Canis lupus familiaris: one gene and its partner. The protein of the gene in region 2 interacts with the protein of the main gene of each other region in a biochemical or structural test. Links are inferred from orthologs where the notes say so. Each region holds a gene or a part of one and is shown on either strand. Other genes may lie near its edges.

The links.
Region 1: the proteins of TOR1A (region 2) and TOR1AIP1 form a complex in vitro, tested with the Homo sapiens proteins (2 studies listed by BioGRID and IntAct). The link is inferred for Canis lupus familiaris from reciprocal best matches to the Homo sapiens genes TOR1A and TOR1AIP1.

Annotation. Positions count from the first base shown.
Region 1 is NC_049228.1:13,320,617-13,325,062, reverse strand, and holds the start of TOR1AIP1 (torsin-1A-interacting protein 1), read right to left. Parts: upstream 2,934-4,446; 5' UTR 2,574-2,933; coding exon 2,093-2,573; exon of another isoform or gene 2,091-2,092; intron 362-2,090; coding exon 284-361; intron 1-283. UniProt on the Homo sapiens protein: Required for nuclear membrane integrity. Induces TOR1A and TOR1B ATPase activity and is required for their location on the nuclear membrane. Binds to A- and B-type lamins. Possible role in membrane attachment and assembly of the nuclear lamina.
Region 2 is NC_049230.1:54,106,162-54,110,682, reverse strand, and holds the start of TOR1A (torsin-1A), read right to left. Parts: upstream 3,000-4,521; 5' UTR 2,942-2,999; coding exon 2,764-2,941; intron 2,347-2,763; coding exon 2,081-2,346; intron 772-2,080; coding exon 596-771; intron 499-595; coding exon 371-498; intron 1-370. UniProt on the Homo sapiens protein: Protein with chaperone functions important for the control of protein folding, processing, stability and localization as well as for the reduction of misfolded protein aggregates.

The DNA of each region.
Region 1 (4,446 bases), on a different chromosome or scaffold from region 2:
ATCTGGGTAAGTTATGATTTGGGACCCTTGATGAATCAGGCTATAATGTGTACATAAAAAAGAGCAGCTGGGACACCTGCGTGGATCAGTGGTTGAGCATCTGCCTTCTGCCCAGGAGTCCCGGGATCCAGTCCCGCATCAGGCTCCCCACCAGGAGCCTGCCTCTCCCTCTGCCTGTGTCTCTGCCTCTCTCTCTGTATCTCTCATGAATAAATAAATTAAGATCTTAAAAAAAAAAAAAAAAAAGCTGGCAGATAAGGCAAAAAACAATCGCTTTTCTTACCTGGAGTTTCTTGTATTCTCTGGATAGTTTTCTTCGGGACTGCTTGGCTTAAAATAGTTTGTGTAGATGGTTCATCCTCTAAAGAACAGACATTACATATGTCAAAATTCAAAACAGATTGACATTTGGGTCCAGATTATGCACCCTAACAGCAATATATAAACAGAAAGGCAAGTAATTCTTTAGAAATGTGTAATTAGGTCCACCAAAACTACTACTCTTAAAAATATAAACTATTCACCTTTGATGCTTTATAATAAAACCATATTAATTTAGAAATTTAAAAGATGGTCCAGAGTTTCAGAAACGTCGAAGAAAGCAGAAGTGTGCAAAATGTTTAAGATCCTTATAGATTTATTAAAACAGAAGTAAATCCTTTATGTATTAAAAAAGTCAGCTTCTATAACTGCAGGAGGATCTGTGCCAGAGTCAATACAATGTAACCTATTTGTTGCCTATCGTCGGCAAAGCGCTCTTCAGATACTGAAGGAGATGGAATTAACTTCAAATAGGATGGGATCCTTGTCCTCAGTAAGTTTCTAATTCTAAAAGAGAGATAGAACATACACATAGGCTAAAATGTCTGGAGTAAGCTCCACCCCATATTAAGTTAACATTTTCTTTAAAATAAAGTTTTCAAAATCAAGGCATCTTCAGATGTGTCAGTGCTGCATGGGTCAGCAGATACGAGCGTTGCCTACAGCTCTGCTGCGAGCTGAAGGTCCACTTCCTTCTTCCTATCTATCCATGGTCTACCACTAAGGATGCAATCACTTTGTGATTCAAACCCCCTGGATTTTTACCTCATTGGTGCCTTACGTGGGCCTCCCACGAAACTACACCCGTGATTCAGATAGGGGACAGGGAAGTGGGCGGGAGAGGATGGCTCAAGGGAGTTGCTTCACCTGTGCCTCACCTAATCCACACGCTCACTTTGCCAACATCCTTTCGGCCCATTTAGAGGAAAACTAACTCAGAATCTTCCTTGGTCAAGCTAAGTAACCCATGAGGTTGCATCGAAGCCCGCCCCCCCCCCCCCGCAAAAAAAAAAAAAAAAAACAAACACGTGGCGATTTTTTGCAGAGACCACCCTGCTTGAGAAAGAGCGATCAGCTCAAGTTTATCAGGCATTAGGGATCTTCAAGTTCAGGATAACTCGCCTTACCCCCACCTCGGTAGAAGTATTCGGGTGGGGTCTCAAGTCCATTTAAAAAACGGCGCGCTCCCTCCAAACGCCCACTCACCCAATTTCTCCCTCCTCCTCCCCCGACCTCGGTAGCGATGGAGAAAAGCCTGGGAGGCTACCCGAGAAGCATCACTCTCAGCTGGGGACTCGTGGCCTCTGAGAGTTAGAGGAAATGGAAGTGGCTTTGGTAGCAACATCCGCAGAACGGAGGGAACCGAAGTGAAAGCGAGCCTGGAGTGTCTCCCTGCCCGCTGGCCCCCCGAGCCGCCGTCACCCCCCTGCCCCCCGCCAAGGCCTGCAGAGAGAGGCGAGCCGGAGCCCCCTCCTCCCCCGCAGGCCGGTGCCCGGCGAGGCGCGGAGCTCGCCGCTCAGGTCGCGCCCCCGAGCCTCTGCAGCCCTCCCGCCTGCGTCCCCGCCCCGCCTGCGGGCGGTCGGGCGGTCGGTCGGTCGGTCGGGGGGCCCCCGCGCCGCGAGCCCCGGGAGCCCCGGCGGGATGAGCTGCGCGGCGAGGGGCTGCGAGGGGCTGCGCCGGGACGCACGCGCACACGCCCCGCCCCCGCCCGCGCGCTGCGCTCGCCCCCCGGCTCGCCGCGGACACTGCTCCCTCCGGCGGCCTCACTCACCGTCAGACGGATGAAAGTCCCGTAACCCTCTCCTGGTCGTCACCGGAGACGGTGACTGCTGCTGCTGCTGCTGCTGCTGCTGCTCCTGCAGGCGGGTCGCCCTTCGCGTGTTCATCTCCTCGGCTCCTTGGAGTCGCGGCTGCCTCCGCTGCCGAGACCGAAGGTAGTAGGCGCTTCCTCGCACTTCCCCTTTCGCAGACTCAGGCCGGAACTCTTCTAGCGAGAGCCGTCTTCTCCCCGGGGACTTTTCCTTGGCCACCGGGGGCTCGAAGTCGCCGTACACTTCTGGCGGCTCTTCCGAGAACCTCACTTCCCGCCGGCCGTGGCGCGACGGCGAAGGAGTCCCGTACGCAGGCGCGTCACTGCCGCCGCCATTTTGAGGGGCGAGCCGGCGCCTTCCCTCCCGTAGGGGGGCGCGGGGTGTGACGTACATCCGCCAGCCTTCCCTCCCCGGCTCCGCCCGCCGCCCGTCGCCCGCCATAGTTGTTGACGTAGCTTGAGGCGATCGCGAAGGTGGTTTGCGGAGCGGGGGGGCGCGTCGGTCGGTTCTCCTGGCGTTGGTGGCGATGGCTGTTGCGAGGGTGTGGTTGCGGCGGTCAGGGAGGCAGTTGAGAGGCGCCGGGGCCGCCGCCTGCGTCGTCGCTGCCGTGCTGCGAAGCCGCCTCTGGGCCCATGGCTTGTCCTGAGGGCTGTGGGAGAGGCAGTGCCGATGCCGGGTCAGCTGCTGCGGGTCACTCCCGCCTCCTGGCTGAAGGCACCAAAGAGGAGGAGAAGCGGGAGGACGACGTCGCTGTCCTTGGCCTGGGGGGAGGGGACAGCCGGCAGCGCGGATTGCCTCCCCGGCCCCAGCGGCTCCGGCCGCCGCTGCCCGCACGCGGGAGGCGCGGGTGCTGCCCGCCGCCCCCGAGCCCCCCGGGAAGGCCCGCCGAGCGAGAGTCGGGTGCCCAGCTTGGAGTCCTCGCCGCCCCGGAGTCGTTCTGATTTGACCGCTGCCTTAGCCCTGCCTTTCCAAGTGTTTCTATAGGAGTCTTCATGAAGATAACTTCTGCCAATGCTGCCTTTTCCTGGGGGGAGGCGGGTGGGGGGGGGGGGTGGAAAGAAATTGTGGGATTTAATTCTTCTCGGAGAAACTGCTGCGACGATCGGTACACTGAGTGATGCCTGGCCTTTCTTTAACGATTTCTTTTATAAGGTGCCTGTTACTGTGGCTCACTCTTAAACATCATAAAAGCCTCATAATGTCATCATTAAAGGATGTGAACCTTTGTAGTGCCGATGTGCAAAGTGCACGTTATGAACGTTATTAGCGCATGTTAAGGGATCTCTTTAAAACATTAACCGGTGCAGTTTTGTGTGTGTGTGTGTGTGTGTGTGTGTGTGTGTGTGTAGAAGCTGGGCTACAAACTTGCGGAACTCCGGTTTTTGGGGACATCTTTAAAAAGAAAGGACAAGCGGTTCTACTACGTGTTGCTGAGCAGAGAAGATGATGTTCGTATTATTGTGAATAGTCCGTTCACTGCGTTACACAGGATTCTTGTAAAGGCTCAGGAAGGAAACTTACGGGTTTGGCTTTCCCAAGAAACAAATGAGGAATCTCGAAATCAGAGGCACGATGACTTTAACACCTACATATTGCTTAGGGTTTTCCCCCTCTTTAGGTAATAAGAATGCATAATTCTAGCGCTGCCGTTCCTGCCTCCCACACCTAGCAACGTTACAAATACCAGCCCTGATCACTTTAACTTTGAGGTAAAGCTAAACTCTTGTCAAACCAGATTTTCTGCTGTAGATGTTTTCTAAACTCTAAGGGTGGCCCCAAAGACGTGACGTTAGAGGCAGTGGATTCGTAGCCAATAGCGTAAGAGGCTTGCAGGTCATCAGTACCGGGAAGAGGCATGAGCTCTGGATGTTAGACAATTAGTTTGGGAATTTGAAAAATACAGAGGAATTAAGTGGATCACAAGACAGGTAAGAGAATCCAGTACCTATACCTATGTTGGCACAGAATAGGTGTTCGATAGATGTATACATTAAGTTAATATGTATTCTTTACTCTTAGGGAATTTGCCTTTTATTAGGGAAAGACCTATACAAAAAAATCAGATTAAATGGCTGGCATCAATTTATATACTTAGCTGTTGTGCCTAGGTCTAGAAATCCAGTGTTGGTGACACTGGATTTTTTTTTTTTTTTCCGATTTTATTTATTCATAGAGCCACACAGAGAGAGAGAGGGAGGGAGGGCGGGAGGGAGGGAGGCAGAGACACAGGCGGAGGGAGAAGCAGGCTCCATGCAGGGAGCCCGACGTGGGACTCAACCCCGGGACTCCAGGATCACGCCCTGGGCTGAAGGTG
Region 2 (4,521 bases):
TCTTCCAAGAAATTCTGCCTCAGGGATCCCTGGGTGGCGCAGCGGTTTGGCGCCTGCCTTTGGCCCAGGGCGCGATCCTGGAGACCCGGGATCGAATCCCACGTCGGGCTCCCGGTGCATGGAGCCTGCTTCTCCCTCTGCCTGTGTCTCTGCGCCTATCTCTCTCTCTCTCTGTGACTATCATAAATAAATAAAAATTAAAAAAAAAATTAAAAAAAAAAAAAAAAAAGAAATTCTGCCTCAGTAGGTCTGAAGAAGGGACTGAGAAGTGGCATTTCTAGCCAGCTCCCGGGCCACGGTGATGCCAATGATCTACAGCTTAGTGACAGAGAGTCATGAATGAGAGAGGTTAGTAAAAGCGGGCACTTACTGTTCTTGTTATTGAAGGCTGACACAGACAAGGCCGGCTCCATGTCTTTGAGCCGGATCTCTTCCCTCTGCTTTCCACTCCTCCAGAAGTCCAAAGCCACGTCTGTGATCCTTTCTGCTCCAGCATTGCTGCAACAGAATGCCGGTGAGTGAGGACTGGGCTTTGTTCCGAAGCCCACGGACTTGGGCTCAGGGTTCTTCAATCATGTCCCGGCCTGGACCTTACCTGAGAAATATGAAGATGGCTTTCTGGTAGGAAACCCCATCCACATGATCATAATAGTCTAGGAAAGGTTTGATGGCATCTATGAGGCCGGCATGCATCTTGTCCATCTCATCGAATATGAAGATGGATCTGGCACAGGCGCTCACGTTGCTACGTATCCACAATTGTAACTGGTCCTTGAGTGACAAAGGGGAAAAGCCAACACAAAGTTCTCAGCAAGTACAATGGAAAACAACTGGCATAAGCGTCAACGCTACAACTGTTTCCACAATGGCCGTGTTTACGGAAGGCTCACTGCGTGCTCAGCACTGTACTAAGAACTTTACACACAAGCTCCTTGGTTCCTCACAACTCCATGCAGCGCATGTTATCATACCCATTTTATAGATAAGGAGACTGAGGTACAGAGCTTCATCATCTTGCCCAAGATTACAAAATTAGTACGTGGTAGAGCTGGGATCTGAACCCTGCCCTGCCTGACTCCAAAGCCCCACGTTGATTATAATTCCTGTGCTGTGCGGATATCATAGTGATGCCGTGTCACTGAATTGCTGGTCCTTCTCATTAAAATGGCGATGTTAATACGTATCCTGTGTGCACACCAGGCTTCTTCAGTCCCAAGATGACACAGCTGGCAGGTGGGAGAGTTAGGACTCACAACCTGGTGTGTCTGCCGCCAAAGTCCAGGTTATTAATCAGTGAGTTAAACCGTAAAAGCAGTTTGTAACACTTCAACTAAACAGCCTTAGGCCTTTCTAGAAATGTGTCCTCTTTTACACACTGAGTGAAATGTGATGCTCCTTAGGTTGGACGTAATGACATTCACCTCTAACCCCACTTACTGGACTGAGAATCATACCGGGCCGTTTTCAGCAACCACCGCAGAGCCTGGATGGTATAACCGCCCCATACATGTCAAACCCTCCTAACTTCCACACCTTTCAAAGGGGGAACCCACACGTGTAGACGTCTTCAGGGCTCACTCATTCTTTTTTTTTTTTTTTTTTTTTAAAGATTTATTTAGGGATCCCTGGGTGGCGCAGCCGTTTGGCGCCTGCCTTTGGCCAAGGGCACGATCCTGGAGACCCGGGATCGAATCCCACATTGGGCTCCCGGTGCATGGAGCCTGCTTCTCCCTCTGCCTGTGTCTCTGCCTCTCTCTCGCTCTCTCTGAATAAATAAATAAATCTTTTTTTTTTTAATTTTTTAAAAATTTTTATTTATTTATGATAGTTACAGAGAGAGAGAGGCAGAGACACAGGCAGAGGGAGAAGCAGGCTCCATGCAGGAAGCCCAACGTGGGACTCGATCCTGGGTCTCCAGGCCTGGGACCGCCGGGCTGGAGGCAGGCGGCGCTAAACCACTGTGCCACCGGGGCTGCCCAGGGCTCACTCATTCTAACTCACAATCCCCAAATCCTACCCCACAACAAAGAAACCCCCAACCCTGCATCATCCAGGAAGGATTCCAAAATTCTGCTCTTGCCTTATACAGGGTGATGTTGGAGGCATGTGGAAAGTGCAGCGTGGCCACAAACAGGTGGACATAGTCACTGTTCAGACCTCCCTCGTAAATATTCTCCGCGATGATCTTGCTGACAAAATTTTTGCCCGTGCCCGTCCACCCGTGCAGAGAAAGGGTGAGAGGTTTCTTCGGCTTCGGGTTGCTTATGAAGCCAGACACAGCATTTAAGATGACTTTCTTTGCGAGATGCTGTCCAAAGAGCTTGCTGTCCAGATCCTTCTGCAGCGCTGGGAAAAACAAAGCTAGTCAGCGAGGGGGTGTCTGTGTCTGGCGCGAGCTGGCCGAGGCGCGTACAGGGCGCGTGGGGCCGCGGGCGAGGCGGGAGAAGCTGCTGGAGCACCCGGCGAGCCGCGGGGGGCGGGGGGCTGGAGGCTGGAGGCTGGAGGCCGCGCCCCGCCCCGCCCCGCCCCGCCCCGCCCCGCCGCGCAGGAGGGGGCCGCCCGGACACTTCCCACCACCCCTCCCGCCCCAGCTGGGAAGAAGCGAAACTCTCGGCGGAGGAGGCGGCCCGGCCCGCAGCCCGCCTGCTCGGGTCTGCGACCAACGCTGGCCCGTCCCCAGTCGTGGCCGGGAGCCGCTCCGGCTGCGGCCCCCGATCCCCCGGCCCGGCCCCGCCCCGCCCCGCGGCCGCCCGCGCGCCCTACCCTCCCGGCTGAGGCTCCGCTTCTGGCCGCAGCACTCCGTGAAGAGGCAGTAGAGGCGCGGGTAGATGTAGCCGGTGAGGACGCCGGCCAGGGCCAGTCCCAGGCTGATGGGCTCCACCGCCCGCACCGCCAACGGCGCCAGCAGCAGCAGGCCCAGCACGGCCCGGCCCAGCTTCATGCCCGGACCCGCGCCGCCCCGCGCGTTCTGGCGCTGCCGCGGACCGGCGCTACGGCCAGACCGCGCTTCCGGTTCCTCCCCGACGCGGCCGCCATCTTTGTGCGGGGCGGGCCTCCTCGTGTCGCCATCTTTGTGCGGGGTGGGGCGGAACCTTCTTCCCGCTTCCGGGAGGCGAGCACCTGAGCGCCGGAGGCCGCGGGGGTGGGGGCGGCACTATTTTAAAAGTAAGCCTATTTTCTGGGAACAATTTTAGCTATATGGAAAAGTTGAGTAAGTACAGCGAGGTATGCCCTCCCACGTAATTTCTCTTATTAACATACTAGTATGTTATATTCATTTAAAATAATGAACCTATATTGATACAACTAAAATTTGTTCAGTTTTCCTTAAGTTTTTACCTGACGTCCTGTATCTGAGCTAGGATCCCATCCACGATACATTATATTTCGTTCTCATGTCTCCTTAGTCTCCTCCTTGGCTGAGACTTTCTCAAGCTCTCCTTGGTTTTGATGACCTTGGCAGTTTTGGGGGAGTGTTGGTCAAATTTTTTGTAGGATACCCCGCTGTTGGGATGGGATGTTTTTCTCATTATTAGACTGGGGACAACAGCGTTGGGGAGGAACATTCTAGATGTGGGTACGGTGCTATTTTCATGACATGATATGAATGATACAGCAACATGATTTATGACTATTATTGACCTTCACCACCTCGATGAGGTCGTGTTCCTCAGATTTCTCCAGAAAAATTACTTACACTCATTCACTCAGGGTTTTGAGGATTCCCCATGTGTCGGGTTATGGACTAGACTTTGGGGATTTAAGAAAATGAGGTAGATGTGATTCCTGCCTTCACTGACCATGCATTTTAATGGAGGAAAAAATACAAAAATAAAACACTGTCTCCATTTTACAGATGAGAAAACAAGCTCAGAGGGAAAGAGATCTGTCCAAGGGCAAAATAGGCTGTGAACAGGGCTCAGCTCAGACTCCAAGCCAAAGTCTCTAACCACAACATCCACTCTAAAAATCAGCCCAAAGGTCAACCAAACTGGCTCTTTTCTCATCTCAACTTGTATAAGTGCTCAGGTAAATGAAAGCACAGGGGGCACTGCCCCCAACAGCCAGCTGATTGGAGCCTGCCGAAGTCTTTTAAACTCGAAGAGAAAATCTCTCAGTAAACAAATTTTGCTTTTGAGCTACCAACCCCCACCTCCAGGCTCACAACACATTACCTAGTGTTAGTATAAGGAGACACAATACAAACAAGAAGGTTGGATTCATTTCATATTTAATACTTAAGTCCTAAAAATGATAGAAACTGTTTCTCTTTCTTAGTGAAAACAGGTGACTGTAAAAGTCAAAAAATATCAGTGTCCCTTTGATCCCATCCTAGATTTTCCTGCTGTCAGGTGGATCCATCATAAACAGTGAAGGATGTATCTCTGAACTCCAGGTATTTGAAAGTAGAAGACACGATTGCATATATAATAATTAGCAGCACAACCTAAAGAGTTTATCTCACTCTGAACAGCTGTTTCCTCCAGACTCAGGGCCAATATTAAGAGAAAGTCAACATAT